Linked DNA regions of Astyanax mexicanus. The protein of the gene in region 2 interacts with the protein of the main gene of each other region in a pairwise test. Links are inferred from orthologs where the notes say so. Each region holds a gene or a part of one and is shown on either strand. Other genes may lie near its edges.

The links.
Region 1: the proteins of glrx3 (region 2) and trim36 interact in binary tests that used the Homo sapiens proteins (3 or more experiments, as listed by UniProt). The two-hybrid records come from large-scale screens. The link is inferred for Astyanax mexicanus from reciprocal best matches to the Homo sapiens genes GLRX3 and TRIM36.
Region 3: the proteins of glrx3 (region 2) and moxd1 interact in binary tests that used the Homo sapiens proteins (3 or more experiments, as listed by UniProt). The link is inferred for Astyanax mexicanus from reciprocal best matches to the Homo sapiens genes GLRX3 and MOXD1.
Region 4: the proteins of glrx3 (region 2) and ca9 interact in binary tests that used the Homo sapiens proteins (3 or more experiments, as listed by UniProt). The two-hybrid records come from large-scale screens. The link is inferred for Astyanax mexicanus from reciprocal best matches to the Homo sapiens genes GLRX3 and CA9.

Annotation. Positions count from the first base shown.
Region 1 is NC_064419.1:37,293,401-37,300,421, forward strand, and holds the start of trim36 (E3 ubiquitin-protein ligase TRIM36), read left to right. Parts: upstream 1-4,011; 5' UTR 4,012-4,359; coding exon 4,360-4,422; intron 4,423-7,021. UniProt on the Homo sapiens protein: E3 ubiquitin-protein ligase which mediates ubiquitination and subsequent proteasomal degradation of target proteins. Involved in chromosome segregation and cell cycle regulation. May play a role in the acrosome reaction and fertilization.
Region 2 is NC_064422.1:12,525,832-12,533,469, reverse strand, and holds the start of glrx3 (glutaredoxin 3), read left to right. Parts: upstream 1-4,635; 5' UTR 4,636-4,698; coding exon 4,699-4,763; intron 4,764-7,131; coding exon 7,132-7,240; intron 7,241-7,638. Other genes in the region: uncharacterized protein si:ch211-221j21.3, read right to left, coding at 15-77, 1,467-1,628, 3,289-3,369. UniProt on the Homo sapiens protein: Together with BOLA2, acts as a cytosolic iron-sulfur (Fe-S) cluster assembly factor that facilitates [2Fe-2S] cluster insertion into a subset of cytosolic proteins.
Region 3 is NC_064408.1:48,943,874-48,951,461, forward strand, and holds the start of moxd1 (DBH-like monooxygenase protein 1 homolog), read left to right. Parts: upstream 1-4,583; 5' UTR 4,584-4,769; coding exon 4,770-5,117; intron 5,118-7,588.
Region 4 is NC_064427.1:25,814,010-25,821,548, forward strand, and holds the start of ca9 (carbonic anhydrase 14), read right to left. Parts: upstream 3,012-7,539; 5' UTR 2,662-3,011; coding exon 2,535-2,661; intron 1-2,534. UniProt on the Homo sapiens protein: Catalyzes the interconversion between carbon dioxide and water and the dissociated ions of carbonic acid (i.e. bicarbonate and hydrogen ions).

The DNA.
Region 1 (7,021 bases), on a different chromosome or scaffold from region 2:
TATGTGTCTATGAGATTTGCAAATCGTTGCATTCATTTTACACAGCATCTCAACTGTTGTGGTGCTTAACAATGCTGCTTTTTGTTTTAATATTACTTTGAAAATGGTAGAAACTCTTAAGAAATTATTGGCTGCAACTTTTAACCGGAATTACGCACAGGCTAATGAAGTAATTATACCTCTAAACCTGATAAATCTCTTTTTTTTTGTTGACAAATCATTTTATGCTTCCATTCTGTTCTAAGTAAACCTATGGGAAACTCAATTTTCATAGAAAGTAGTGTGCTATAGCCTGCACGTTTTCTGCCAGACAAACTGTAAGAATCATTTACTTCTCAGTCACGACACAGACGTGCAAAGGTTAATGGCTTGATGCTCACCTCCACCGGCACTGCTGTTACTCAGCAGAACGCTCACATTGACACAATAGATAGCAGCAATCTAAAATTAGTTTGCCTTTAGATCAATTCAAGGAAGATAACCACTTCCTCCTACTCTGCAGGAGCGGAGCCGGAACACAGCATAGAACTTCCCTTAAGATTCATTAGTATAGAACATGTGTGAACATACTGCTGTTACTGTAAATACACACAGTAAAATCCACTGAGACTTGCATGACTATACTGTAAAATGTACTTTTTAGACTGTGCTATTGTTCTGTTTGAAGCTGCAGGTGATAGCTAGGTTCCTCAGTACAGATGTCAGAGTAATTATGAACCATGAGATACAACAGTTTAAACACTCTTAAAAAAAAAAAAAAAGATTCTTGTTGCTGGTAACAGTCTGGATGGTTCTTGTCATTTTTGGTCTTGCACACATTGCATCTGTTTCATAAAAACATTCTAGAATTCTCACTCACCTGACTACAATACACAGTGTGAAGGTCTATCCCAGATGCCTCAGAGCTCAGTGAAGCTGACACTGTTTCTGGACATGGTTAACATTTTAAATGTATCTGTAGAGTAGTAGCAAACTATCAGCTATTTTTGATTTTTTTTCGGTTCTTGATGCAGTGCTGTCTGAGGAATCGGAGAGCTTAAGTATTGAGCTTACCCTTGCTCTTTATGCACTTACTTGTGCGTCTCAAAAAATGTAATTATCATTGAAAAGTTACTTTATTTCAATAATTCAGTAAAAAATGTAAAAGAGATATATTTAAGGCTATTTCTTTTATTGTTGTTGATTATTGGCTTACAGCCAATGAAAACCCAAAAATCAGTGTCTCAGAAAATGTGAATATTGTATAAGACCATCTGGTACTTTTGGCAGTGTGGGCAGTGTGCCAAGTCCTGCTGGAAAATGAAATCTGCATCTCCATAAAAGCTGTCAGCAGAGGGAAGCATAAAGTGCTGTAAGATTTTCTGACTTTGGACTTGATTTAACACAGCGGACCAACACTAGCAGATGACATGTCTCTCCAAACCATCACTGATCATCAGTAAATGTTGCATTTTATTTAAAATGTTTGGAGAGAGACACACAGTTCAAACTGCTTGAGGTCTAGTGTGAAGTTTCCACAATCAGTGATAGTTTGGAGAGTCATGTTATCTGCTGGTGTTGATCCTCTGTGTTCTATCAAGTCCACTTATTTGATATAAAATGATTTAGTGTTTTTTTTTTCCTCATTACTACTCTGATTGTCCTCAACAACCAGATGTTTCAGGCCTGCAATGCAAGAATTGTTGTAATTAAATAAACATTAAATTAAGATAAAATTTAGAACACAAAATATGAAAAGTCTTGGGTTCATTCTCTCTGCAAGTCAAATTAAATGCTCATGTGCAACATGTTCTAGTTTGTATTTGCATTTCCTAAACTGTCTCAAACTTTTCTGAGTTAATTTGGGGTTGTAGGAGTGTGAAGAATGTTTAAATTGGTACTTTCTTTCTAAAGTGCACTTTCTTCAAGAGACTTTTAAAGGCTTACAGAGACTTTAAGCTTTTAAAAGGTTTTTGCACACAAACAAACACACATACACTGACGCGCACACACGTCTATTACAATCATGGTTTTCTTAATGGACCCAAAAGATTCATTGCTCTATTGGGTCCTATTTTAGCAATCTATACACAAGCTGTCAACAATGCACCATTTGCTATAGTTTGCGGGGTGTAAGATAGCAGTGAGCATCGCGAAGCATCTTGCGCAGGGTGCCCATAGATTCTGACAAAATTTTACTACAAAGGACATCATTTTTATGTTTTCATTTTAAAATGATTAGATTATAGATCAAATTCACATTTTCTCTTATCAGGGATAGGGATAATATCTCTTTTATAAAGCTTTATGTAGATATGTCTGTTGGTAAATATATATATATATATATATATATATATATATATATATATAAACTTGAACTTAAAGTAGACCTGCACTGCTAAAATAACCTTTTGTGGCACTTAAACTGTCTGTTTTTACTTATTCAAAATTCCATCTGGGCTTCTAATAGAATAATAGTGTCAGCGAGGTAAACTGATATAGGCTAAAAAAAATGGAATATTATATATCAATATATCAAGATATCATAGCTGTATATCTTTTATCCAATAAATACTACTTTTGTCTTTGTTTTTTGTGGGTTGCCTGTTATGTGTTTTATTCTGCAAAGTCAGAATCCCAAAGGTATGAGTAAGGAGATGTGTTGGCACATTTGGGCACTATGCAAATGAAGGCAATGTGTGTTTTCTGTTTTTTTTCCAGATGAAATTTAGATTGAACTGAACATAGATTGCCCCAGGCACTGAACAGAAATAGCATCACATGATTCATTAGTCTTTCTCTGTGGCACAATTCTAATTTTCTCTCTACTGGGTCGTGTCAGTAATGCATAAATTTCCCCATGGCATGCAGGTCTTTGTTGGATTTTATTGGTTGCCAAATGCTTGACCTAATTGCATTATTTGGCTCTGAACAAACATTTATTCCAACATAATCTGCACCTGCTTTCACACTGTGACCTGATAACCAGCCTAAATTTACCGCTGTTATTCACACAAGGATAAAAATGAGGAAATGAGAGTTTTGCACAAATCTTGTAATTGGATGCAGTGTTGTAGTTCATTTGACTATAGTCCTGGGAACAAGCATGACTGATTTAAATGATGCCACCACATTCTGTATATGAGGAGTACTACATATTATACATGTTGATGTTACTTTATTTCAGTAATTCAGTTCAAAAGGTGAAACTCATAAATACAGCTCTAAAAAATATTAAGAGACCACTTCATCAGTTTTTTTTTTATTTTGCTATTTATAGGTGTATATATATATATTTGAGTAAAATAAAACATTGTTGTTTTATTCTATTAACTATGGACAACATTTCTCCCAAATTCCAAATGCAAAAAATACCGTAATTTAGAGCATTTGTTTACAGAAATTGAAAAATGGCTGAAATAACAAAAAGATGCAGAGCTTAAATAATTCAAAGTTTTAAGAGTTCAAAAATCAATATTTGGTGGAATAACCCTCGTTTTTAAGTGGTCTCTTATTTTTTTCAGAGCTGTTTATACAAGACCATTCAATTCAATTCAGTTCACGCCTCTTATGAGCAGATAGATAGATAGATAGATAGATACTTTATTGATCCCCGGGGGGAAATTCTTGAAAGCAGCACCACAGAGATGCCAATTCAGTTATTGTGGTGACAACAGTGGCAAGGAAAACCTCCCTTACGTTAAGAGGAAGGAACCAAGACAAACATCACTGGCGTTTTCTTTGTAAATGAACAGAAATAGTGAAAATCACAAGAAATACTATAAATAGTCTTATTAAATCGCACGTTGTTTAAGCGGGACAGTGCAGAAAACATATCATTGTCATTATATGAGTCCAGAATCCACTATAGCGTCTGATTTTCCACTAAATTCACTAATTCTTTCTTGGCTCTATATGTGTGTAGGTGTGTACTTGTAGGACTGTTGCTGAGCACTCGCACAGACCAGCACGGACTGCCTGCCTGACTGCACACAAAGAGCTCCTACGACACTGGAGCTCACGCCCATAGACTGACAGTGGTGGGCGGGGTCTCGAGCCTCAGAGATCATGCTCACACTTTGATTCACATCTTCATCTCCCTCCATCGATCTGCCATCAAAGCGCGCGCTCCGGACACAGCCCGGTTCACTGGGGGCGATGCTGACATGGGACCATAAATCACCCCCCGGACTGTGAAGCGGGAGGCGGTCCGCCGATCTGCCGGAGCGGGAGTGCGCGAGCTCGACTGGCTGGCTGTCAGGACCGCCAGGTCCTCCTCCTCCTGGAGCTGCTGAAGTCATTCATCATTGCTACTGCTGTCTTATTCTTCTGTTAATAAACATCGTCTGAGTGAAGATTCCCCCGCGCGCGCGCGTGAAGATGTCTGATTCAGAGGAGCTCACGGAGTTCGGGAGCATTGTGGAGCGCATAGAGAAGGGAGAGGTAAGTGAGCAGACATGGAGTCCAGCTTCAGCAGCTTTTCTCCCCAGAAACCTGTCGAGGAGTCTGTCTGTGGCTGGAAACAGACGGTAACAGGCGAGCTGCTGCTGCGGCTGCTGCTGTACAGTGAAGCCCATGACTGATCATACTGATACTGATTTATTTATTACAGCTGCTGAACTCTGTTTACTGTACTGAATGAGCTTAAGCAGGAAAAATCTAAAAATAGGACACTTATAAAAAAATAATTTTGGATGTTACCTGATGTAAAAAAATGATGTACAGATATACTAATCATAGGCTTATAATGAATTGTGCAGTGGACAAATGTATAAGCAGTTTAATCCTGTAGAATAACTTATTTTACAATAAAATATAACCTGAAATGAAGTGTATTGTAAGTGTAAGTGAATGAATTTTCACAGATTGTCTGAACATGCCATTTTAATAAGAGCCACTTGGTGGCATGAGATGAAATAAAATAATAGCAGCCTGTAACACTGCTATTACTACTACTACTACTGCTAATAATAATAATACATATAATATTAAGATTGATTTATAAAGAATTTTCCATACATATAGGCCTGTCATGATAAATAATTACATTATCGCTTATTGTACAATAAATGGACATGACCTCAATAATATTTAATAATCATGATATCGTCTATTGTGTTTACTTGTATATTTGTTCACATGTATAGATGTAACATTATTAGTGAACAGTATTAGTTATAGCCAGTCATGCAATGATCAATGACCAATGCTTCAATAACTGTGACTTCATACACACAGTGTGGACTGCAGTAAGTGAAAAAAATATATATAGTGTATAGGTTTCCCAAACCAGTATTCATTAAAATATTGTTGTCTTTTAAAGAGTATACTTTCTTTGATATGCTATGAAATTCTATTGTGATTATATTAGAATAATCTATTGGTCTTAAAATGACTAAACTATCATTTATCGCAATCATTTCTGGGAAGATATATTGTCCACAAAAGTATAAAGAACACTAAACAATGCATCCCAATTGCATATTACATACTAAAACGATATGATGTGTGTACTATATACTGATCTTAAATGTGTGGATTTGAAATGTTAGTACACAAAATATTAACTTTGGGTGTGTCCCAGTTGCGTACTAGGTGGCATGAGAAGAATCAAAAATATGTAAATATTTTAGTGATTATAAGCATTATTTATGTAGTACCTTCTAAATATTACAGTGTAGCACAAAGTGCTTTACAATACATAGTAAAAACAGAAATAAAAAGTACTCAATAGCATAATATTATATCGCTGAAAAAAAGCAATAACAGGAAAATATGTTTTAAAACATGCATAAGGAAATAAAGAAACCAGTTCCACATTCCATTTGTGAACTTAACAGTAGTACTTTAGGTATACACGATACTCTAATCTAAGGCTATGTCTGAACTGCAGGAAATGCTGACTTGGTTCCTTACTTCCCACGCTCTCCCGCTTAGAAGGCAGTGTCATGATGGTCATGATCTGTGATCGTATCAAAAGGGAACCATATGTCCTGACATTGCCAGGGTATGAAAGCTCGCTGCTAGATGTGAGAGCTGAGCTGCACTGTCAGTAGCATTATATATTAGCATTTTCACCAAATAGATGAGATTACTGACCTTCGATTCAATCAGATCCACACAGCTTTAATACTGCAATTTTGGCAGGTTAGTCCAGAAAAATATTAACATAAGGTGTTTCCAAAAGTACGTACAAATTACTAATACTAATATTAATAATATTCTAATATTCCTGATGTCTGAAACACATTAGAAAAAATAAGATAAAGATACAATGAACACTACTGGAAAACTTGCATTTGGCATATCAAAGGTTTATCATTTCCTGTATGAAAAGGGATTAGTATCAAAGGTTTATCATTTCCTGTATAAAAGGGATTAGTATGTTAATATTGTGTGTACTAATCTGTCAATCCCACACTAGAAATGTTAGTATGCAGGTCATGTCTGAATTGCAAGAAATGCTGCCTATTCAGGCAAGATTCTGAAGCAGTCTTGCCTAAATCGAAGATCAGTAATTTGTCTTCTGTTTTACTGGTACAAATTCTGACAGCTAATGGCAACACAGCTAATCGCATTTGGTTATATTTGTTGAGCAGCATGGTCTTGCTGGTCATGCTGGTCAGACAGCTGGGTCGTTCTGGTTATCTAGCTTGGTCATGCTTGTAGACCAGCTAAACCACCAAACTTAAACAAAAAGCTTGAGCTGCTCATTTTTTTTTTCTGTGAGAAAACTGACATAAATGTACATTAATTAAAGTATAATCGGACAGAAATAAATAAATAAATTGATTAAATATCTGTTTATGTCCATATATTTATTAATTCGTATTTATGTATTTTTAATACGTTTTTTGGTTATTAATTTAACATGCTGATAATATGTTTTCGTCCAAATATTTATTAATATGTATTTATGTATTTTAAACATTTTTTTAGTAAACAATTTAACGTGTTGATAATCTCTCCTTTTTGTCCAAATATTAATTAATATGTATTTAAAAAAATAAATTTAAATAATTATTAATTTAACGTGCTAATA
Region 2 (7,638 bases):
AATATATATCTCACCGGTTCTCCTGCCAGGCATCGGGGGCAGCACTGCGGACCGCCGCCATTCTGAGCTTCCAGCACCTGTTTAAAATAAATAAAGAAATAAATCTATTAAAATATGATCATTCTACTAGTTAAAACTTATGTCTGTAAGTTTTGTGATTTAGGAGATTTAGCGCCTCTCTGGTGAGAACGGGTAATTGCACTGAATATGCAGAAGAATCATTTTAAACTGGGTGGGTGTGATGCGGTCTCCTTTTCAGAGCGGATGAATGAATCCGATTCCAGGTTGTGTTCAGACAGAGAGAGAGAGAGAGAGCTCAGTCAGAAACTTCACTCCTTCGTTTCTTTGGTTTTACTATGAGTGAATGAGCTACTAAGCTCTGAGTTTCCTCTTCTGAAGTCTCCATTGCTCCACCAGCCGCTCACGTTCATTAAAACTGAACCGGATCCTCTTTTAGAGGCTGTACGTGTGACGTACTGTAAGTACGTAAAGACGCATGACGTGGCCAGAAGAAAAACTCCTGCGAAAAGCAACCCAACGCCCCAGTTTTTAGAATGAATATATTATAAGGCCTAGCAGGGATGGTCGTTCCAGCAGAAGGGTACCATTAAACACTATATTTTTTCCATATTCTTCTCCACTCAGAAATGCTTAACTGTTAAATTATTGCCAGAAAATTCTATTTATCTTATGACCAATTATTTATAAACATAAACTAAATAAACATGTTGCTTATATAAGGTTGCATCACATTTCATTTATTCAGAATGTATTTCTCAGAGCAGTAAAACCATGTTATTTTGTTTTGTTAGTTTTGTGTTCCTGGTTAAAGATGACTGACATACATTGGCTGGCCAAAAAGTACAAAAAAAAAAAAAAAAAGAAAAAGTTTACACACTGCTTAAAATAATATTTCGTTGAACAAAAAATGGCTGTTGATTGGCTTAAAATAAGTGACTGACATCAAAAGCGGTTGTGTGATTGGCTTCAGTATAAAATGATTAACACGTCCTAAACTCTTTGCTTATGCCCACTGGTTCTCCCACTGGCCTGCACTAGCAGAATTCTGTCCTTTGGTGTTCAGACAATGCAACTGCATGATTGCATAGTGACAGAGCGTGGAATTATCTGTTCTTGTGATGCACATTGTGTTTCTTTTCCATTGTGATGCATTGTTGAACCTCTATTAGACATTAAGTAGTAACTATAAACTGATAATAGCAGGTCTTTTTACAATGCTTTTTCAGGGCAATCTATTTTATAATATTTAATTTTGCTGTGTATATTTGAAAAATAAAAAAGTTGATTTCTCTGAGCTATGACCAGATTATTTCTTTCTTTATTTCTTACCATATGCAACTCTTATCCTCTGAGTGCACTTTGAGCCCGTGACTCATAATTGCTCGAGTGCACTCTGACCAGTGAAAACAGGCAGTAAGGAAATAAGCCAAGGTCAAGAACCCTACCTTATGGTGGTGGTGGTTGTTGTTGTTGTTGATGATGGTGGTGGTGGTGGTGTCCTTCAGATGGCTGACCTGCTGGATCTCCCATGTGTCCATTGGGCTCTCGGTCAGGGCTCCATATTCAGCCTGGACACAGCTTTCCAGTCCATTGCACACTCTTTTAGTCTGACAAATACAGACAGAGGAGACAACCTTGTGTTTTTTATCATATATCTTCATCAGATGACCTCTAAAAGCAGAGTGCACTGTGGGGCATGAACCAGCATTTCCTACGGGTGTGACATCGTATGCAATAATATTGCCAACATTTTTTAATATGGTGATTATTGATATTATACCCTGAAACATGGTGCCATTTCACCAATTCCTAATTATCACATCAGGGTTCTACTTTTTCCCCCATTATATATCTACTAGAGACAGATTATATCTGTCCAGTATCATTTATTCTACTTTAATCCTGGATATATGGAGATATTTGGAGTGCATTATTATCAGTATCATGACTGATCATTCTGGATCATTGACTTCTGTTAGAAATCTGATACAATTCTTGTATTTTTTTTTTTTTTATATCTCTGTTAGGGGTGTGCCATATCATATTGGATGCAAAAAAAAAAATAATAATAATACAAAAAATGTGTTGCAGTAGTGTATTCTTTAAATATTTCTTTTGTAATTCAGTGTTTTGTCATATAATAGCTAGTTATCTGAGCATGGGAAAATTAACCAGAATAAATTACCTTTCATTATATTCTATTCTATTCCAAGTAAAGCTAGGCAATATGTAAAAAAAAATAGCTAACAATATTTTAACACATTTTCTTAAAAGATCTGCAATAATATGCAGCTCTGTAAAAAAGTAAGAGACCACTTAAAAATGATGAGTTTCTTTGATTGTGGAATATAATCAAGAGGAAGATGGATGATCACAAGTCATCAAACCACCAAACTGAACTGCTTGATTTTTTTTTCACCAGGAGTAAATCAGCATAAAGTTATCTAAAAGCAGTTTGTAAGTCTGGAGTAGGAGAAAATGATGCCAAGATACATGAAAACTGTGATTAACAAACAGGGTTATTCCACCAAATATTGATTTCTGAACTCTTAATACTTTATGAATATGAACTTGTTTTTTCTTTGCATTATTTGAGGACTGAAAGCTCTGCACCTTTTTGTTGTTTCAGCCATTTCTCCATTTCTGCTAAAATAAATGCTTTAAATTACTATATTTTTGTATTTGGAATTTGGAAGAAATGTTGTCTGTAGTTTATAGAATAAAACAACAATGTTAATTTTACTCAAACATAAACCTATAAATAGCAAAATCAGAGAAACTGATTCAGAAACTCAAGCGGTCTGTTTTGAGAGATATAACAAGAAATAAGGCAGAGTGAGGTAGTGGTCCACAGTTAACACTCAAACCTAACTACTTCTAAACCTGGGAAAAATAATTGCAGCCAAGCCAAGTGTGGAAAAAACCTTTCTTCAACTTATTTAGGAGAGATTTATTTATCTGTCAAATATAGACAGAGGAGATACCCTTGTGTTTTTCATCAAATAACCATATAATCTTCATCAGATGACCTCTAAAAGCTGAGTGTACTGTGTGGCATTAACCAGCATAACCCCTATAATTTATTTCTGCTAATAATAGCTTTGTCAGAGGGCCACACTACCATGAAGGGCAGTGCAGGAGCTAGGTTAGTTATGTGAGCAGAGGGGGGAAATGAACCAGAATAAATGACCTTTAAGTGCATTACAGGTTAATGATATCTGCAATGCTTTTAAACGTGAATAATGGATTAAAATAGATGTTATTTACCGGATTGAAGCCCCAATCTTCTGGATCTCCTTCTCGGCCTCTCTTGTTCTGCAGTAGTGCACTCATATAATCCATAGACATGATGATGAAGGGGGATCTTTATTCCTTTATCTATCCTAAACTAGTCCATGAACTATAAAAAGAGGTAAAAACTTCCAATATCCTCTAATACAGACCCGAAAAACGAGCAAACATAAAGAAAACCCCGGTAAAACAACGTGTCAGACCACTAATCCAGCTAATTACATGAATTAAAGCTCTTAACGTTCACCTATTCCCTCTATAGCTTTATTTAAAAAGGCAAAGCATATAATTACATAAACACTTTAAATAATCACTAAAAACATAAAAACAACGTGTCCCGCCTCCAACCTACGCTTTCCTCTGCTGTGTGTAACAGTTACTTCCCCCTGTTCAATTTTTCCTGGTCTGCACGTATCATAAGACAGACGGCTGTGTTAACCAATAGGGTGTAAGCATATGCCCTCGAAGGCGGGCCTATCACAAATGATTTTTTTTTATTGGCTGCAATGACTTTTAGCGCGAAAACGCGACCTATCAGCTTTAAAGTCACTTGCCGGTGTTTTATTTTTACTTATATAAATATATAATTATATAATTAGAATCAGTAAATAAATAGAATAGAATAGATACAATAGAATAAAAAAATATATAATAATAATATAGAACAAAATATAATTTACTGATTACAGTGATGAAACATTAATACACTATAAAAGAACAGTAATAAAGTCATTGCAAAGATGAGAAAAAATAAATAAATAAATAAAACAGTTTATCTCGGTCATGCAGCACTGCTACTGGACTAATGAACAATAGCGTATTACTGTTCTAAATCTTTTGACTGGTAGTATATTTAAATATCAATTAACCTTGCAACACTTTTGCACACACCAACGGCTTAAATAAATAGTAAATAGCAAAATAAATGTAATCTCAGTATTTGTTATTTGTTATTTAAATTATATTATTACATTTATTATGTAGTACCTCATATATTTATTTAAATATATATTATTTTTACTTATTTCCTCTGAATATATATACAGCTCTGAAAAAAATATAATAAGAGACCACTTAATTATGTTTTTGCATTATTTGAGGTCCGAATGAGCGGCATCTTTTAGTTGTTATTTCAGTCATTTTAAATGTTGTCTGTAGTTCTGTAGTTTATAGAATAAAACAACAATGTTGATTTTACTGAAACATAAACCTATAAATAGCAAAATCAGAGAAACTGATTCAGAAACTGAAGTGCTCTCTTATTTGTTTTTTTTTTACATAAACGATTTAACTCTCGACACTGCACACAATCCGCGGTTTGATTAGTAATGCCTTCACGGAAGGAAAACACTGGGAATCGATGAGCGGATACTTTTGTCTGTGATCATGGCGAACCTGACGGACGCAGCGACGCCGAAGCAGTTTGAGGAGCTGCTAAAAAATGCCGGCAGGTAAATAAAATACCTCCCTGCGGGTTAAATTCAGCCCGGACACAGCGCGGAACACGTTCAACCGCTTAACCAGTGGGTAAATAGCATAAATAACCCGGTCTGAGAGCGAAACGGTAGACGGTAACGGAGCTAAAGTGAAGTTAGCCGTTAGCCTTTAGCATTTAGCTCCGTTCAAAACAGCTGCAGCAGCAGCAGCATGTGAGCTTAGCTGTGATAGCTTCAATATTTAATTATGTATACTCTTATAATCCTTTACTATTAATGATGTATTACTGAATACAGTTAATGTACGGGTGTAGTAGTTTAACTGAGGGGTTTTAAGAGCATAACAGTCATGAAAAAAGGAGTTTTAAAACGAATGTAATGGTAAGAATCGTTGGTCTATAAATTCTATGGTCTCATCTAAACTATCTGACAGGATAAATACATTAAAAATGCAGCTGGAGCTGTTCTGCAGGTAATTAGAAAGAACCAGCAAAAGGAAAACTGAAAGTGAAGCTTTGGAAGATATATATATATATATATATATATATATATATATATATATATATATATACATACATACATATACATATAACTCTGGAAACAAAAACTAAGAAAACACTTCAGTGTCCTAATAATTTCTGATTTTGCTGTTTATATATATGTGCTTAAGTAAAATGAACATTGTCGTTTTATTCTATAAACAACTATGAACAACATTTCTCCCAAATTCCAAAAAAAATATTGTCATTTAGAGCATTTATTTGCAGAAAATGAGAAATGCCTCAAAAAAAAAAAAAAAAAAAAACATGCAGAGCTGTCAGATCTCAAAATAATGCAACAAAAATGCAGAGTTCATATTCCTAAAGTTAAAGCTAAAGCTAAAGAGTTCAGAAATCAATATTTGGTGGAATAACCCTGCATAACATTATGCCACGCCTGGTGCAAAAATCAGGCAGTTCAGTTTGATTTGAAGGCTTGTGATCATCCGTCTTCCTCTTGATTATATTCCAGAGATTGTCAATTTGATAAAATCAAAGAAGCTATTATTTCTTTTTTCAGAGCTGTGTTTGATTTAGACAATAATCATATATTTCCTTTGCAAACAGCCAATAAACTTCAAGAACACATAGTGATGTTCAAACATCTGGGGTTGGTGGATAATCCATAATCTGTCAGTGGCTGGTGTATATATATATCAGTGTGTTTGTAGTACAGTTTTGGATTGATGATCGTTACACATCACAGCTGCTCTCTCTGTATTGTGATTGGGCTACTGATTATCTGTCTATCTTTTTATCTTTTATCTATTTAAATATCTAAATAGCTGGATAAACAGTCTTTTATACAGCCTCAGTCTTTAGTGGAGAATCTCTATTGGAATCGACACACTTGGTCTTGAGGTCAGTGCCAAGTATCAGCAAGGGGTGTAAATAATAAAGTGTGAACAGTAGGCCTGGGTTGTCTGCAGTGATGGAATGGAAGCAGTAAAATGGTGCAAACTCCCTGTTGATACATTTGACTTCAGAAGAAACCAATGAGCAGTTCTCTACACACTTTTAATGCATTAAATACAATGCATTAAAGAACTATTAAGGATTATATTATCTGTAATAATCTGTGCGTGCCCACAGCCATTCCCCAGTCCCATTTCCACACCCCGGGCTTCCAGGTATAGAACACAACAACTGAACTTTAGTAAGGTCCTCTAACCAAGATAACAGAGTTATATAAAATTCCATGATTTGTTTATTATGTGAAAATAATAAAATCATTGCAAGCATATACATATTGCTGATCAGCACACAGAGTATGAGTTGTCACTTTCCAGAGACCCAGTAGGGCCAGTGGTTTGGTGGTTCTTGGTCTGGGTCATGGGAATCCTATACCATATATCATATGCACTACTGTGTTTTCCATTATTTTACAAACTTTACTTACTTAACTACATTGATATTATGGGTCTAGACCCAGCTGACATTAGATTTAATAAAAATGAAAAGACTAGGGATGCACTGAAATGAAAATTTTGGTTAAAACCACAAACAAAATTCCTTGAAATTCCTTTTTTGCCGTCTAGTCAGAAAAAATCTGTGCATCCATTAAAAATTCATACAATAATATATTGATACAGTGCCCTCCTCCAGCAATTTTAGAAATTATCTTAAGTTTTAACTATACTGCTTATAGATATTTTATTATTTGGTCACCAGAACAGAACACTTGCGGTGACATAACTAACGCATGATTGTGAAAGTGTTGCTTATGGTGGTTATTTAACACATCAGTACTAAACCCCTTACTTCAGTTTTCAGGATCATGAATAATAATTTAAATTTAGGATTGTCTCAATGTTTTTTTTTTTTTTTTTCTTCTTTTCTCCCAGGTCTCTCACAGTTGTCCATTTCCACGCACCATGGGCTCCACAATGCTCTCAGATGAACGATGTGATGAAGGAGTTAGCCAAGGAGCACAAACAGACCATGTTTGTCATGGTGGGTTATTGAGTATATGTAATTTAAGCTGAATTAATTACTTTGAATATAAAAGAGATTGCTTAACTGACTGTTAATGTAATTTATCAGTGCTTTATCAGTGGCAAACTCCACCATTATCTCTATTTAGTAAGAGGAACTTTGTTTCTGTTGGAATCAGAGTCAGTAAAACAGTTTTGAGGATATCTGAATCAATTATAATCAAAAATCTTATTTTTTTAGGCCATAATCGCCCAGCACTACATCAAAATGAGTCAATATTATTTAATACATCTTGTTTTTAACTAACATCACAAATTCTCACACAGGTGTATACACACACATACACATACATATACACACTGTTCCAGACCCACACCCTCCACATTCTACGCAACCTCTGTAATAGTTAGTGGACC
Region 3 (7,588 bases), on a different chromosome or scaffold from region 2:
TATCACCACTGGAAGGGCTAGCGCAGGGCTTCTTAAGTCCAATATTAAAGTGACAGAACATACAGTATCTACAAGCAAGTCATCATGTGTTGATCTGAAAGTATGCAAGCATCAAGCGTAAACAACCTACTCACTGCCCGAAAGCAAGACATGTCCTAACATGACTAATATTCAACCTGACGAGTGAGATTTCCACCAGATTAGCGTCAGTAACATTTAAAATGCTCCACCTTATGTTTACAGTAAGTGAAACTCCACCTAACATATTTTGAATTTAGTTTGTAAGTATACCAGCCAAAAGTATTGTCTTATTCACACACCTCAGCTACACTTATACACTCTATCTTAGTTTTGTGTAACTTTTTTTGTTTGAAATCTGGGGTAAAATGGTTTTGGGGTGTAGTGAAACATGAAAGAGTACTACTGACCTTTTTTCTTTTTTTTTGTCGAAGAGCCCACCTTTGTTTAGAGGTCTGCACTCCCATTACATTACATTACATTACATTACATTACATTTGGCAGACGCTTTTGTCCAAAGTGACTTACAATAGTCAAGTACAAAAGTAATAGAAGTTAAAGGTAAAACATTTTTAGATAGGGCTTAAAGGAGGTCGAAGGGAAATGAGGGGATAGAGGACTGAAGGAGGGGAAGAAGGAAATGAGGTAAGAAGTAGTTAGTGTGTTAGAGGTGTTAAGAGAGTAAGTGCTCTTTGAAGAGCTCTGTCTTCAGGAGTTTCTTGAAGATAGCGAGAGATTCTCCTGATCTGGTAGTGGAAGGTAGTTTGTTCCACCATTGGGGAACTCTGTATGAGAACAGTCTGGATTGCTTTGTGTGAATGTTTGGCAAAGCGAGGCGACGTTCATTGGAGGAGTGCAGCGGCCGGGAGGTAGCGTAAGCCTTCAGGAGTGATTGCAGGTAGGAAGGAGCCTGTTCTGTCATCACCTTGTAGGCGATTGTAAGAGCTTTGAATTTGATACGAGCATCTGGTAGCAAATGGAGCTCAATGAGCAGCGAAGTGACATGTGCCCATTTTGGTTGGTTGAAGATCAGACGTGCTGCTGCGTTCTGCATAATTTGGAGTGGTTTTACTGCACAGGCCGGGAGGCCAGTTAGCAGGGCATTGCAGTAGTCGAGGCGTGAGATGACGACTGCTTGTACCAGGAGTTGGGTGGCCTGTTGCATCAGAAACGGTCTAATTTTTCTGATGTTATAAAGCACAAAGCGGCAGAATCGAGCAACTGAGGCCACATGGTGCGTGAAGGAGAGCTGGTCATCAATCATAACACCCAGGTTCCTAGCAACCTTTGTCGGTGAGAGAGAGAGAGTCGATGCTTATAGAGAAGTTGTGTTGAAAAGATGGGTTTGCACTCCCGCGTCAGAATATGTTGCGGCGCGCTAGAGAACTGAATTGTTATTGGCGGGAGCGGGAGTTTAATCAATCCAGGCAAAGCGGGAGCAGGACCACGTTAACATGTGGTCCCGCTCCCGCAAATTATTAAATCGCTAAGAAAATTATAATAATTAGCGGGCGGTAACGGGACAAAAACACATGGGACCGGGTAAAAAAAGCAGTCCCGCGCAGATCTCTTGTTTACTGTTAACATAAAGCCAGTGTTAAGTCTAGAATGTGTCTCCGTTGTAATAAACTAACAATAATCAGCACTCCACAGCGCTGTCGTTATATTAGTAAGGTACATTAATGTTAATCTCATTGATTTGTTATAAGTTAAATTTACCTGCTTCCTGTGCGTGGGTAACGTAAAGCTAAGCGCTCTGTTTCACATTAAAAGTCCACGCTAAATTCCGTGCTCTGCATTTTAAAAATAATTAAATGACTCCTCAAGACACAGAAAATTAATCGATCAATTTTTTTTTTTTAAATCAAGTAACTCGAATTACTTGAGGAATCATTTCAACCCTAGAAAACTGTAAAATTGAAAGATGGCTCTAGTACCCTGGTGGATGCCTCTAGCCTGGATACAATATGAGATACTGTTGGGCATGACGACAAATAGGTTTCTTTATGGTATCCTGCAGCACAGTTGCCCACAGATTTTGCAGCTGTGCCTGTAGATCCTGCATCCTCAAAGTTTTCTAAGGTCTTTATACTTATTTTCTCGGTTTAGTAATGTGTCTGCTCTTAAAGTCGACTGCTTCGTAGAGGCATCTCCCACCAAGAGGTAAACTGCACAATTGTTTTATAAGGCAGCGAAGGAAGCAACTTTACACTCTTTTGTGGCCAGTACCTAATCAGACCACACCTGAAATCATTTACATACCAGTCTGAGACTACATGCCGAGTTTTGCATCAATCTGAATGGGTTATATTTGCTGCTGTTAATGAGTGTTTTTGACTTAAAAATAAAAAGTTAAACTGGGTGGGTTAGAGTGAACTGAAAAACATTTAAGAGTATGATGGTAATTTTGTGGTTAATCTGGAAACACATGTTCTTTTAGTATTGTTTTTCTCTGCATGTAGTCCTCTTGAATGTTAAAAATACAATTTAGTTATTCTCAGAATAATCATAAAACTATGAAGGGAGCAAAACACATTTATAACCTTTTAAGTTAATTGCTGTGATGTAGCTTATAGCCAATAAATGCTTCTGACATCTGCTTCCTATCACCATCACTGAGAGTACGTTTGACCCGGTATTTTTCCTAGAATAGAGAATTTCACGCCAAACTACTTAGAATGCCATTGTTTGTATCTTGATTATCTTAATGGCATACAGACATTAAAAAATACAAACTAATAGTTAAATAGTTAATCCAAAAAAAAAAAAAGATTTTCTAATTAAGTTTATCTAATCAATGAAAAGTTAAATTTACACTTACACTGGTCCACTATAACCTATATACCTCACTCATTCACTGTCTGGAAAACTGCCCAAAAATGTTTAACTAGTTAAACTAGACCACTAGATCCAAAGCACGACATTTACAGGTCTCTCAGACCCATTCATGTTTTATTTATTTACGTTTAATTTAATTCAAACAAGTTTAACTCGATCCACTAGGTCCACTAAAATATGAGCAACAATTTTGTATGTATCAGTCCCATTCAGTTGTTTAAATATTAATCCATTCAACTGTATAACAAGCTTTAAACTAAGCTTAAAACAAACCACAATAATCCTTTTGACAGTTCAGAAAGTGAAAATTGGTCAAAATAGTCCAGCAGAATGCAATGTAAACTTTTATACTGGGGCACTAGAATCCTTCACTCTAAAATGTTTAGACTAGAATTTCCCCTCGGGATCAATAAAGTATCTATCTATCTATCTATCTATCTATCTATCTATCTATCTATCTATCTATCTATCTATCTATCTATCTATCTATCTATCTATCTATCTATCTATCTATCTATCTATCTATCTATCTATCTATCTATCTATCTATCTATCTATCTATCTATCTATCTAGACTAAGTTCATAATGCTGAAACTGGTTAAATTAGTCCAGCAGAACATATAAATAATAGTGAGGCACTAGAATCCTTTTATTACTCAAATTTTTTTAAGATGTTTTCACACATGACTGGAGTCTGCACCATCTGTTACATTGTGTACAATTGGTCCGGTTAGTTTTGGTTTCACAATGCAGTTTAGTGAGCAGACTATTGAACTTTACTACATGCTGTCATCTAAGTGTAATTACGATACATGGCAGTAGACAATAGCTATTTTATTAAACGCGAGATGACGACCAGAGGACCATGAAGTTCAGTGAAAAACTGTAGGTAATTCAGCCTTCTTAGAGGACGTCTAAAACAAAAAACACATGCACGGTTGTTCCGGACGAGAATAAAATCACAGAGAACCCCCCTGTTAAAGAGAAAATTATCTCAGGACCCCCTGAGAAACTAATCCCGAGATAGGGCTTTAGATTAAGTTTAAGTATATATTAAGCATATCTACAGCATAAAATTGGTTACATTAATTCAACAGAACCTTAAAATGCAAACATTTATATTCGGTCACTACAACATAACTTTTCCATCACTTTAAAACTTTCATTACTCTATAAAGTTTCCCAACAGTTTCTCAGACAGGGATTAAGTCTAGCCTTGGACTTTGTAACAGCACTGTAACTGGAGATTTTTCTTTGAAAGAAAAATACAGTCTATGACTAGGTTTATCCCTGTCCGTTACACTGAAACAAAGAGCCTATACAGTAAATTTACCAGCCAGTGCTAATCAACACTGTTAGAGTTAAATTAAAACTGAGTGGAAGTTTCTCAGACAGGAATTAAGCCTAAATTTGGACTACAAAGCATTTTGATTGGATATTGTCCACTAAAAATCAAATATGGTGCGGCACTTGATTTAACCCCTGTCTGGGAAACTTCCCCTTATAGTTTTAACGTAGCACTATCAGTGTTGATTTAACACTGAGGGAATAATGTACACTGTACTGTTTAAACTGAGGTAAATGTATAGTGTTTGTGGTTTAACGGTCGTTAACGGTCGCTGAGCGCAGGTTCAGTTTAAATTTGAACTTCAAAACACTGGAGATTCGAGGCGCGTGCTGATAGGGTCGTTCGCGCCAAACATCAAAGCAGAAGGTGAAGCGCGCGGCGGTAAACAGCAGAGTAGACCAAAGCAGCGCGAGGGCGAGACACGCGGCTCAACATCAAAGGCATCAAACGCGCAAGTCACAACAGCTCTACCGCCGAGGAGGAAGTGCTGTTTTTCCGTGGCTGCGCGCGCGAGGGGACAGCAGTCTCCTCCGATGCGCTCGTGCGGGCTACACGCGCGGCTTCATGTGGCCAGAGCGCCTCGGACTCCTCTCGCTTTCAGCCCGGACACAACCACGAACTTCCCATAATAACATGCGCGAGACCGGGCTGCCCCGCGCGCTGCTGCTGCTGCTGCACGCGACGCTGCTGAGCGCGGAGAGGTCTCGAGACAGCAGCGGGTTCCAGCACTCCGCCGCGCTGGACGCCGGGGGGAGATACGCGCTGAAGTGGAGCTTTGATGAGACCAGCATCACGTTTGAAGTTGAGGCAGCAACGAGGGGCTACATGGGGCTTGGCTTCTCTCCAAACGGCGCCATGGCTTCAGCTGATCTTGTGATAGGAGGTGTTGCCAACGGGATACCTTACCTCCATGTAAGTTCACTATACTGTCTTACTGACCACTTACTGTCTTACTGCAGGGGCACAGTTGCTTAGTTTTTTTAATGAAAATTTTGTAGATACTCAACTCTGGTAAAGTTTCAAATAGAGTGTGCACCATACTGCACAGTAAAATTGTTAGTTTCAAATTTATGTCATTTGCACATCATGTCAGGACACACAATCATTAAAATGCTTGGGGTGAGGCTCAGATAATCACTTTACAGTAATATTAAACGGTGCAACATAGCAACAATAAAAATACCATACTATACAAAAGGATACTAACTCTTGTGTATAGGCAAATTAATCCAATAAGATATACAGTTCTGGAAAAAGAGAGCACTTAAAAATGCAACAGGAGTGGCATAAAGTTATCCAAAAGCAGTGTGTAAAACTGGTGAAGGAGAACATGACAATATGCATGAAAACTGTGATTAAAACCAGGGTTATTGCACCACCAAATGTTGATTTCTGAACTCTTGAAACTTTATGAATATGAACTTGTTTTCTTTGTATTATTTGAGGACTGAAAGCTCTGCATCTTTTTTATTTCAGACATTTTTCATTTTCTGCAAATAAATGCTCTAAATGACAATACTTTTATTTGGAATATCGGAGAAATGTTGTCAGTAGTTTATAGAATAAAACAACAATGTTCATTTTTACTCAAAAATATACCTATACATAGTAAAAAAAAAAAAAAGAAAAAAAAGAGAAACTGATTCATAAACTGAGTTTTTTCAGAGCTATTTATATTTAAAGTGAATTAGTAGTGATAACCATAGCAGTAATATATAAATAAGTTTTAAACCGACTTCACAAGCTCATTTATGGAATTGGGTTCTCTCAATCCTTAATATTTTTTTCTTTTTAATTAAAAAGCAGTAATGTTAAATAGTGTAAAAATACACAGAAAAAAATAAAACAAATAACTACTATTAACTATTGAGAATGACTCTGCTGTTTTACGAAAGTACAGATGAAGCCAGAGAGTACTATTGCCTACATCTTCAAAAAACTCCTGGAAACTCTTAAAGAAAACTGGTACAGGAAGCATCAGGTCTGGCTGACCCACATGGCAACAACACCTTTAGCTAAGCTTAACACTGGACTAAGTCTCAGTTTCAGCATTGAAGAGAAGAATTATAGGTCTGAAAGGTAAAGTGCAGTAATAAAGTTGAGAAGATTAGAAAATTAAAAAGCAGCTTTAGTGGATCATCATACAGCACTGCATATAGGCAACTAAAAATCTTTGAGCAATAGTGTATATTCATTCTTAAATTTAGGGTGTCTGGTAGATTCCGGGACATTTTTCTGGGTATAAGAGCATTTACTGGTTTCCTGAGCAACCATGGTGCTGCCAATGGTGCTGATACAAGACTTACTGTGAACACATAAATCAGACATGCAAACTCAGTCTTTATCTGTCCATTTACACATCCTTAAACCAAAAAAATGCAGAATTAGAACTGAAGAGAGCTGAGATCAGAGACCTACAGAGTCCTAAAATCACCAGATTCGTCCACTCTGAAAAGAGACTGCACCACACTGCATGTTTTAAAAGTATTTTTTAGGATGCTCAGTGCAATTACAAATTCTCACTTTTATTAAACTCAGTAAGTTTATGAAGTTAATGAAGGTTATGGCCATATAGTAAAGTATAGTGTAATTATTGTGTCAGGTGTTTTCTGGACTGAAATGTAAGTCATACACTGCCTACACTAAATATATACTACACTGCCTGGAAAAAAAAAAAGTCACCACCCCCCAAAAAAAAAGGTCACACTATAATATTTTGTTGGATCGCCTTTAGCTTTGATTGCAGCACGCAGTCACTGTGGCATTGTTTCAGTAAGCTTCTGCAACATCACAAGATTTATTTCAATCCAGTGTTGCATTAATTTTTCACCAAGATCTTGCAGCAGCATTGATGATGGTAGAGTCTGACCACTGCACAAAGTCTTCTCCAGCACATCCCAAAGATTCTCAATGAGGTTAAGATCTGGACTCTGTGGTGAACTCTCAATCCATGTGTGAAAATGATGATCTCATGCTCCCCGAATCCTGAACTCTTTCACAATTTCAGCCCCATGAATCCTGACATTGTTATCTTGGAATATTCTTGTATCATCAGGGAAGAAAAAATCCATTAATGGAATAACCTGATCTATATTCAGTATATTCAGGTAGTCAGCTGACCTCATTCTTTCAGCACGTTCTGTTGCCAAACCTAAACCTGACCACCTGTAGCATCAACCCCACATCATTTACTTACTTAAATCCAATTGGAGACTTTTTTGACCAGGCAGTGTATATATTTTTTATTTTAATAGGAAATCAATATTCAAAATGAGTTGTGGAGGCAGTCCTTGCTTCTTCATTGTGGTTACTTGGGTTAATATATTTTTGCACTGCTTGCACTAACACAAGCTTCATGGGACATAATAAACCCTGGAATTTAA
Region 4 (7,539 bases), on a different chromosome or scaffold from region 2:
ATTTGTTGCACCAGGAGTAACGGCATAAAGTTATCCAAAAGCAGTGTGTAAGACTGGTGGAGGAGAACATGCCAAGATGCATGAAAACTGTGATTAAAAACAAAATATTGATTTCTGAAGTCTTAAAAGTTTATGAATATGTTTATGAACTTGTTTTATTTGCATTATTTGAGGTCTGAAAGCTCTACATCTTTTTTGTTATTTCAGCTATTTCTCATTTCTGCAAATAAATGCTCAAAATGACTATATGTTTATTTGAAATTTGGGAGAAATGTTGTCCGTAGTTTATAGAATCAAAAACAATGTTCATTTTACTCAAACATATACCTATAAATAGCAAAATCAGAGAAACTGATTCAGAAACTGAAGTGCTCTCATAATCTGTATATATAGAAAGGTGTGTGTGTTTGTGTATTTAAAAAGAAGAAGTTGGAATGAAATGAAATGTCCTTTTATGGCTCCACAGACCTGCTCTCCCTGCTGGATTAACAAGCTTAAGTTTAAGAGCAGAAACAGTAAAAGTGGTGTCAGGTCAGAGTGAAATGCATGACTCTTCATGTCCTCTCGGAGTTACTGAGAGATCTATAGTGTGTGTGTTTTTACTGTGTGATTCTCTGATGCCTCATGCAGAGCAGCCGCTCAGCCTGACACATCACCCTGTACCTCCAGAGCAGCACGTACACCACATTCCCACCAGCCAAACCCCACCACCAGCAGCAGCAGCAGCAGCAGAAGCCTCTGGCATCACCAGCTGTGTTTCCAGGATAAGCCGGGGGAGCGCTGCTCATTCATTCAGCAGGAATCTGAATAACGGACTGAACACCAACAGCTTTTCCACACTGTTCTGTACTGAACACGTGGGTGTACAGTTATATGTAATATCTGTACTCTATAACCACTGTCTGTAATGTGTTTTATAGTTATTGCAGTGTTTAGTGTACCTATGATTTATATTATGATATGTATTATATTAGATTTTAGCATTAAAGCTGTGTACATGTATAAGTATGTATGTATATGTAAATTTAACATTGTATTTACCAAATATGTAAAAATATATTTTCCACTTGTCTATTCAGTGTATTCAAGTTTAATATAATGTCTTTAATTCTAAAACTAGACATAACTAAACATATATACTGTGCATCATAAATGTATATTCAGCACTGTAAAAAAATTAAGAGAGCACTTTAGTTTCTGAATCAGTTTCTCTGGTTTTGCTATTTATAGGTTTATGTTTGAGTAAAATGAACATTATTGTTATATTCTATAAACTACAAACATCATTTCTCCCAAATTCAAAATATGGTCATTTAGAGCATTTATTTGCAGAAAATGCAGAGCTTTCAGACCTCAAATGATGCAAATAAAACAAGCTCATATTCATAAAGTTTTAAGAGTTCAGAAATCAAAATTTGGTGGAATAACCATGGATTTAAATCACAGTTTTCATGCATCTTGGCATGTTCTCCTCCACCAGTCTTACACACTGCTTTTGGATAACTTTTTGCCCCTCCTGGTAAAAATGTAAACAGTTCAGTTTGGTTTGATGGCTTGTGATCATCCATCTTCCTCTTTATTTTATTCCAGAGGTTTTCAATTCGGTAAAAACAAGAGAGCTGTATATTTCTAGAGCTGTATATTCTACTTTAACACTTTGGTTGACTACATAATTCCACATGCGTTCCTTCATAGGTTTGATGTCTCCAATATGAAACTACTAAGTATAAAAAAATACATATGAATAAGAAACATTAAATGTGAAGGTGGTTTTAAACTTTTTAAAAGAAAATAAATTTTGTAGCATTTCTATTGGTCCATCTATTTTCTCTCAAAATGTGATGGACAACTTTTGAGTTCAAATGATAAAGTAAATTGAATAATGTCAAAAATGGAAATAGATGTTTTTCCCTAGACAGTAACACACACACACACACACACACACACACACACACACACACACACATAAATGTACTATATAGAAGCTATACTGCTGACCTCTTTTTATCTGTACTGAACAAGTTTACATGTAGATGACTATGCCAACAGTAACGTCATATTCTCCCTGTAAAACCCTCTGCAGGAATACTGATTCAGAGAAGAAATGACCACAGAAGAATGAGGAACAGCTCATCATTTTCTCACAGTTTCACAGCTCAACGTGCCTGTCCTCAGAACACAAAGGGAGCAAAAACCAAGACATCATGAAAACCCCCATCAGTGTCACACTAAATTAACTGGAATGACTATAAAAGCTCAGAGAAACTGAAACTGGGTGCCTATTTCTGACTGATCACTATAAATTTCACTACTGCAAATGAGAAGAGTCAATGAGAGAGTTAAAGCTTCATTATCCAAATCTCAGACATCCCTGCAAAACTTATAAAGTGCTCAATAAACAAAAATGAACTATTTAAACTAAAATAAATACCAAAATAAAGTTCTGATACCTAACATAAACTTTTCAAGATATTTTAGGTCCACCTAAATCAGCACTGACAAAGATAGAAACATGTTTAGCTGAGCCTACTCACTTTTCTCGTGCTCATCATCATCATGCTCACTGCTGCCATCTTCCTCAGAGGAAGAGGAGTGAGTTTCTCCAGCCAGCACCTGATCCTGGACGAGGAGGAGGAGGAGGATGAAGAGTTTTAGTAGCATGATGATGATGATTCCTGCTGAAGTCTGTCTCCTCTTAGCAGCCAGTAACAGTCCCGCACAGGTGCTCACACACACACTCACTATCTTACACACTTTTATATACACACACACAAAGCCTCACCTCCATTCAATCACAGGGGGAGGGACATTTAAAAGGACCACCCTGAAGAAAAGAACCAATCAGCAGCCAGGAGCTATCTGATCGCTATGTGCCCAGTGTTCCTTTATTCTCTCTCCTTACAGCTCCCTCTCTCTTTCTCTATCTGCTTCACTCTATCTTATATATATCTTATATATCTCTCTACATCTATTTCTCTCTCTTTCATTCTCTCTGGTGCTCTCTCTCTTTTTTTCTTTCCTCTCTCTCCCTCTCTCAATCTCTTTCTCTCTGTCTCACTCTTACTCCTCTCTCTCTCTCTCTCTTTCTCGCTTGCTCTCTCTGTCTGTACCTCTCTCTCCCTCACTCTTTCTCTCTTTCTCCTCCCCATCTCTTTCTCTCTCCTTCTCTTTTCTTCTCTCTCTGTCTCTCACTGTCATGCTCCCTTCCTCTCTCTTCCTACCTTTCCTTTTGACTTAACCTCTCTTTCTCTCTCTCTCTCACTTTTTCTCCTCTCTCTCGCTCTCTTCTTCTCTCTCGCTTGCTCTCATTGTCTTTCCCTCTCTCTTTCTCACTCTTGCTCTCTCTTCTTCCCGTCCATCTCTCCCTCTCTCACTTTATCCTTCCTTCTCTCTATCTCTTTCTCTCTCTGTCATGTCCTTCCTCAACCTCCCCCACTTTTCCTTCCTTCTTACTTTACTTCTCTCTCTCTCTCTCTCACTCTTTCTCCCCTCTCCCTCTCTCTCCCCATCGCTCTCTCTCTTTCTCTCTCACTCTCGCTCTCTCTCCTCTCTCTGTCTCTCACTCACTCACTCTCTCCTTCTTTCTCCCTGACTCTCTTTCTCTCTCTCTTCCTCTTTCTTTCCGTCTCTCTAGCTCTCTCTGTCATGCTCCCTTCCTCTCCCCCCACCTTTTCTTCCTTCTTACTTTACCCCTCTCTCTCTCTCTCTCTCTCTCTCTCTCTCTCTCTCTCTCTCTCTTTCTCTCTTTTGCTCTCTCCTTTTCTCAGTCTCCCTTTCTCACTCTTTCTCCTCTCTTTAACTCTGTCTTCATCTATCTCTGTCTCTCTCTCTTACTTTCTCTCTCTCTCTTTGTCTTCATCCCCCCTCTCTCTAGACCTGCACTCCTGTAGAGGCTGAATGAGAACTAATCTAATCTCTTAGTCTCTCAGCATTCTGCAACACTCATACACACATACACACACACACACACAGTCCTGAACGAAGTCCAGTGGCATGGCTGCAGCAGTATGTTTATGTTAACATAAACACTGGAACACAATAAGGGGCATAATCAGTGTGTAAGAGACACTTTCAGATATAAAAAACTAAGATTTAGAACAGTAGTAGTAGTAGTAGTAGTAGTAGTAGTAGTAGTAATATTGCTTCACCACAGTTTAATCTCACATAATAGTAAAATGAAGAAGTAAAAAATAAAATGCATTGTTTTTATATCTATAGATTGTATTTCATTTCTAGTCTTTAAAACAGATACAGACAAAGCCAATAGGACTGGAGCTTCCTCATTGGCAGAGGCTGTTTTATTTATAGAGGAGCTCTACAGCTGTCAAGATCAGGTCACTGGGGATCAAGGTCAACATCAGCGTACTTACCACTCACATTCACACTGGATCAGAGATTATTATTATCAGTGACTTTTTTCATTTTATAGGTTCCCCTGAGAAGAGTGAGCCCCTTTCCCTCCACATCAGTGGATCCTCCCGGTGGGGTTAAATCAGGCATCATCTCTCAACTGCACCCGTTTGGACCCTAAACTTCTTACAGAAAGGAACAAGAGATAAGTACACACAAATACACTCCCGCTCTAATGTCCCCTTTTTAATGTTATTATCTAGAGATTTTTTTTGCAGAAAATGAGAAATAGCTGCAATAACAAAAAGATGCAGAGCTTTCAGACCTCAAATAATGCAAAGAAAACAAGTTCATATTCATATTCAAGTTTTAAGAGTTCAGAAATCAATATTTGATGGAATAACCCTGTTTTTTAATTACAGTTTTCATGCATCTTGGCATGTTCTTCTCCACTAGTCTTACACACTGCTTTTAGATAACTTTATGGCACTCCTGGTGCAATATTCAGGCAGTTCAGCTTGGTTTGATGGCTTGTGATCATAAATGAATTCTTGATTATCATTCCAAAGGTAATTCATCATTAAGTGGTCTCTTACCCGAGCTGTATGTGCATACCATTTAAACCAACATTTTCAAGTAATTTTTAACCATTTTTCTTCTATAATGGGACTGTGAGTGATCCAGCAGACTAAGATGCTGCCTCTATAATCCGAGGATCGCCAGTTTGAATTCTGTATCATGCTGCTTTTCAGCTGCCATCAGCAGCCGGAGTCTGAGAGAGCACCATTGGCCTTGCTCTCTCTGGGTTTGTAGATGGCGCTCTCTCCACGCGTCTGATTTCACATGTGTAGGAGGAGGCATGTGCTGATTCTCACCCTTCTGGTATTGGGGACATTGCCCGTGATACTGGGACACCCAAGTAGGTGGGTGGGGTAATTCACCTTCCAAACCGGCGAGAAAATGAGAGAAAATTATAAATCAATGAATAAAAAACCTGTTTTAAAAAATAATTTGGTTATATTTAATATTGTAAAAAATCTAATAGAAGAGTCTCCCTCATACATTTAGTTCATCATGTTAGTTAGAATATTTTTTGTATCTGTTCTTGTGGTTCTTTAAAGTAAACAGGTAAATTTTGTTTGCTCCTTGACCCTGAATATAATACGCTATGTTCACTAAAACAGATCAGACAATAGACTGGTCAGTCAGATTGTGATTGGACTATTGTATTTAAATTTCTGTTGCAGTTATAGCTGTTTTCTTTTGTCCATTCATTCTGTAACAGTTAACACACAATACTAATCACAGGCTTTCTGATCAAATACACTTTTTTTTCTTTTTTTCTTTTTTTTTGCAAAATCCTGAAACCCTCACAAAGCATTATATAAACATAAACACACACATACGCAGACACACTCACACACACACACACACTCACACACACTATTATCAAACAGCACAGCCTGCAGTCACTGTGTTGGTGAACCGTATGAAGGTATGCAGGCAGTGGGTCCACTGGAAAAGTTATGATTATGATTTTTATATCAACGTCTATTCAATGTTTAGATTTTTGCAAGATATTTTACAGTGGCTGGAATTGAAGATTTACTGTCTTACATTACTTCCATTAACAATTTAGAATTTTACACTCTACACATACACACTATTTCCATTATGATTTATCCATTGACCTCTATTCAAACTGAATTTTTTTGTCTACCTCTAAAAGTTTTTTCCCCTGTAAAATTCTAGTTTTGTAGAAATAAGGTTATCAATGATTTGCTATGCTATAACTCTAAAACAGTATAGAACTACATAAAAATGTTTTGGGGAAAAAAATACTCAAAAACGTACCTTCAGATCTTTCAGATTTAGTCACGTTGTTCAAACACTATTAAAAAATAACTGGAAATGTTATTAAAAATCTAAATCTAATCCAATTTAAAATCCAGACAAATCCTTCAGGTTCAAGTTTAATTATTTAATCAGGCCTCACTGTTCGTATATGAAAAAGATCCAGATGTTATTAAGTTTCAGTCATTTGACCTTTTTTAACAGTTCGTCGTGTTTTTTTTAAAACACGCTCCTAATGCAGCTCCTTCAGAATACCACATCACAATACCCCTACTCCCCCCCCCACACACACTCGTTCCTGGAAGAGTGAGAGAGAGGGAACATCAACATCACGTCTGTTACAGAAACTCAGATTTTTTTCATTAAAAAGGTCAGAGCAAGAGCATTCCACACACACACACATGACACATGTGCAGTTTGATACTTGATATTTAAGAATGCCTTGATTATGATGATCACCTTTTTAAAACCAAAAACAAAAAAAATCACAGCCTAATTAACAAATGCAGTCATGTGATCGTGTATGAAATTAAGATCTCATTAACACACAATTAAAATGGTTTAATGCGTGCTGTTGTGAAGGACTTATGGACTTCCATTATGAAAGCTTACTATTGATTAATCATACTATTGACTGTGTAAATTCAGTCCTGACAAGACATGTACCTAAAACTTTAAATTTAGTAGATTTTTTTCTTATGTTTGATATGCACTCATGTAATGTGATTTTATTTCTGGTGATATGATCTTTTAAAAATTGGTGAGGGAAATTTTAATTTAGTGACATTGAATCGAATCGCCTTTATTGTCATTATAATTTGCATTACAATGAAATTGGATTTGCTTCTCCAAAATGCCTTTGTTGTATAAATTAAACAGAAAAATAATTTAAGTTAAAAGCAACAAATATAAAATAGACAGAAATTAAATGTAATAAAAACAAGATATACACTGTACAATCTATCCACAAAATATTGCACTTCAAATATATTGCACACGTTATATTACTCCTGGGGTTTAAAATTGTACGTTTTTGTTTGCCATTGTTTTTTATTGTTCAGTGCAGTGATGGCTCTTGGGAAAAAACTGTCCCTGAGCCTACTTGTCCGAATTTTATGTGACCTGTAGCGCCGGCCTGAGGGTAGCAGGTCAAACAAATAGTTGCTGGGGTGGGATGTATCCTTGGTGATACTGTCAGCTCTGCTAATGTAATGAGAGGTGGCAATATCCTCAAGGCTGGGCAGGGAACAGCCAGTGATCCTTTGGGCCGTGCTGATCACCCTCTGCAGCGCCCTTTTGTCTGCTGCTGAGCACCCCCCGTACCATGCCGTGATG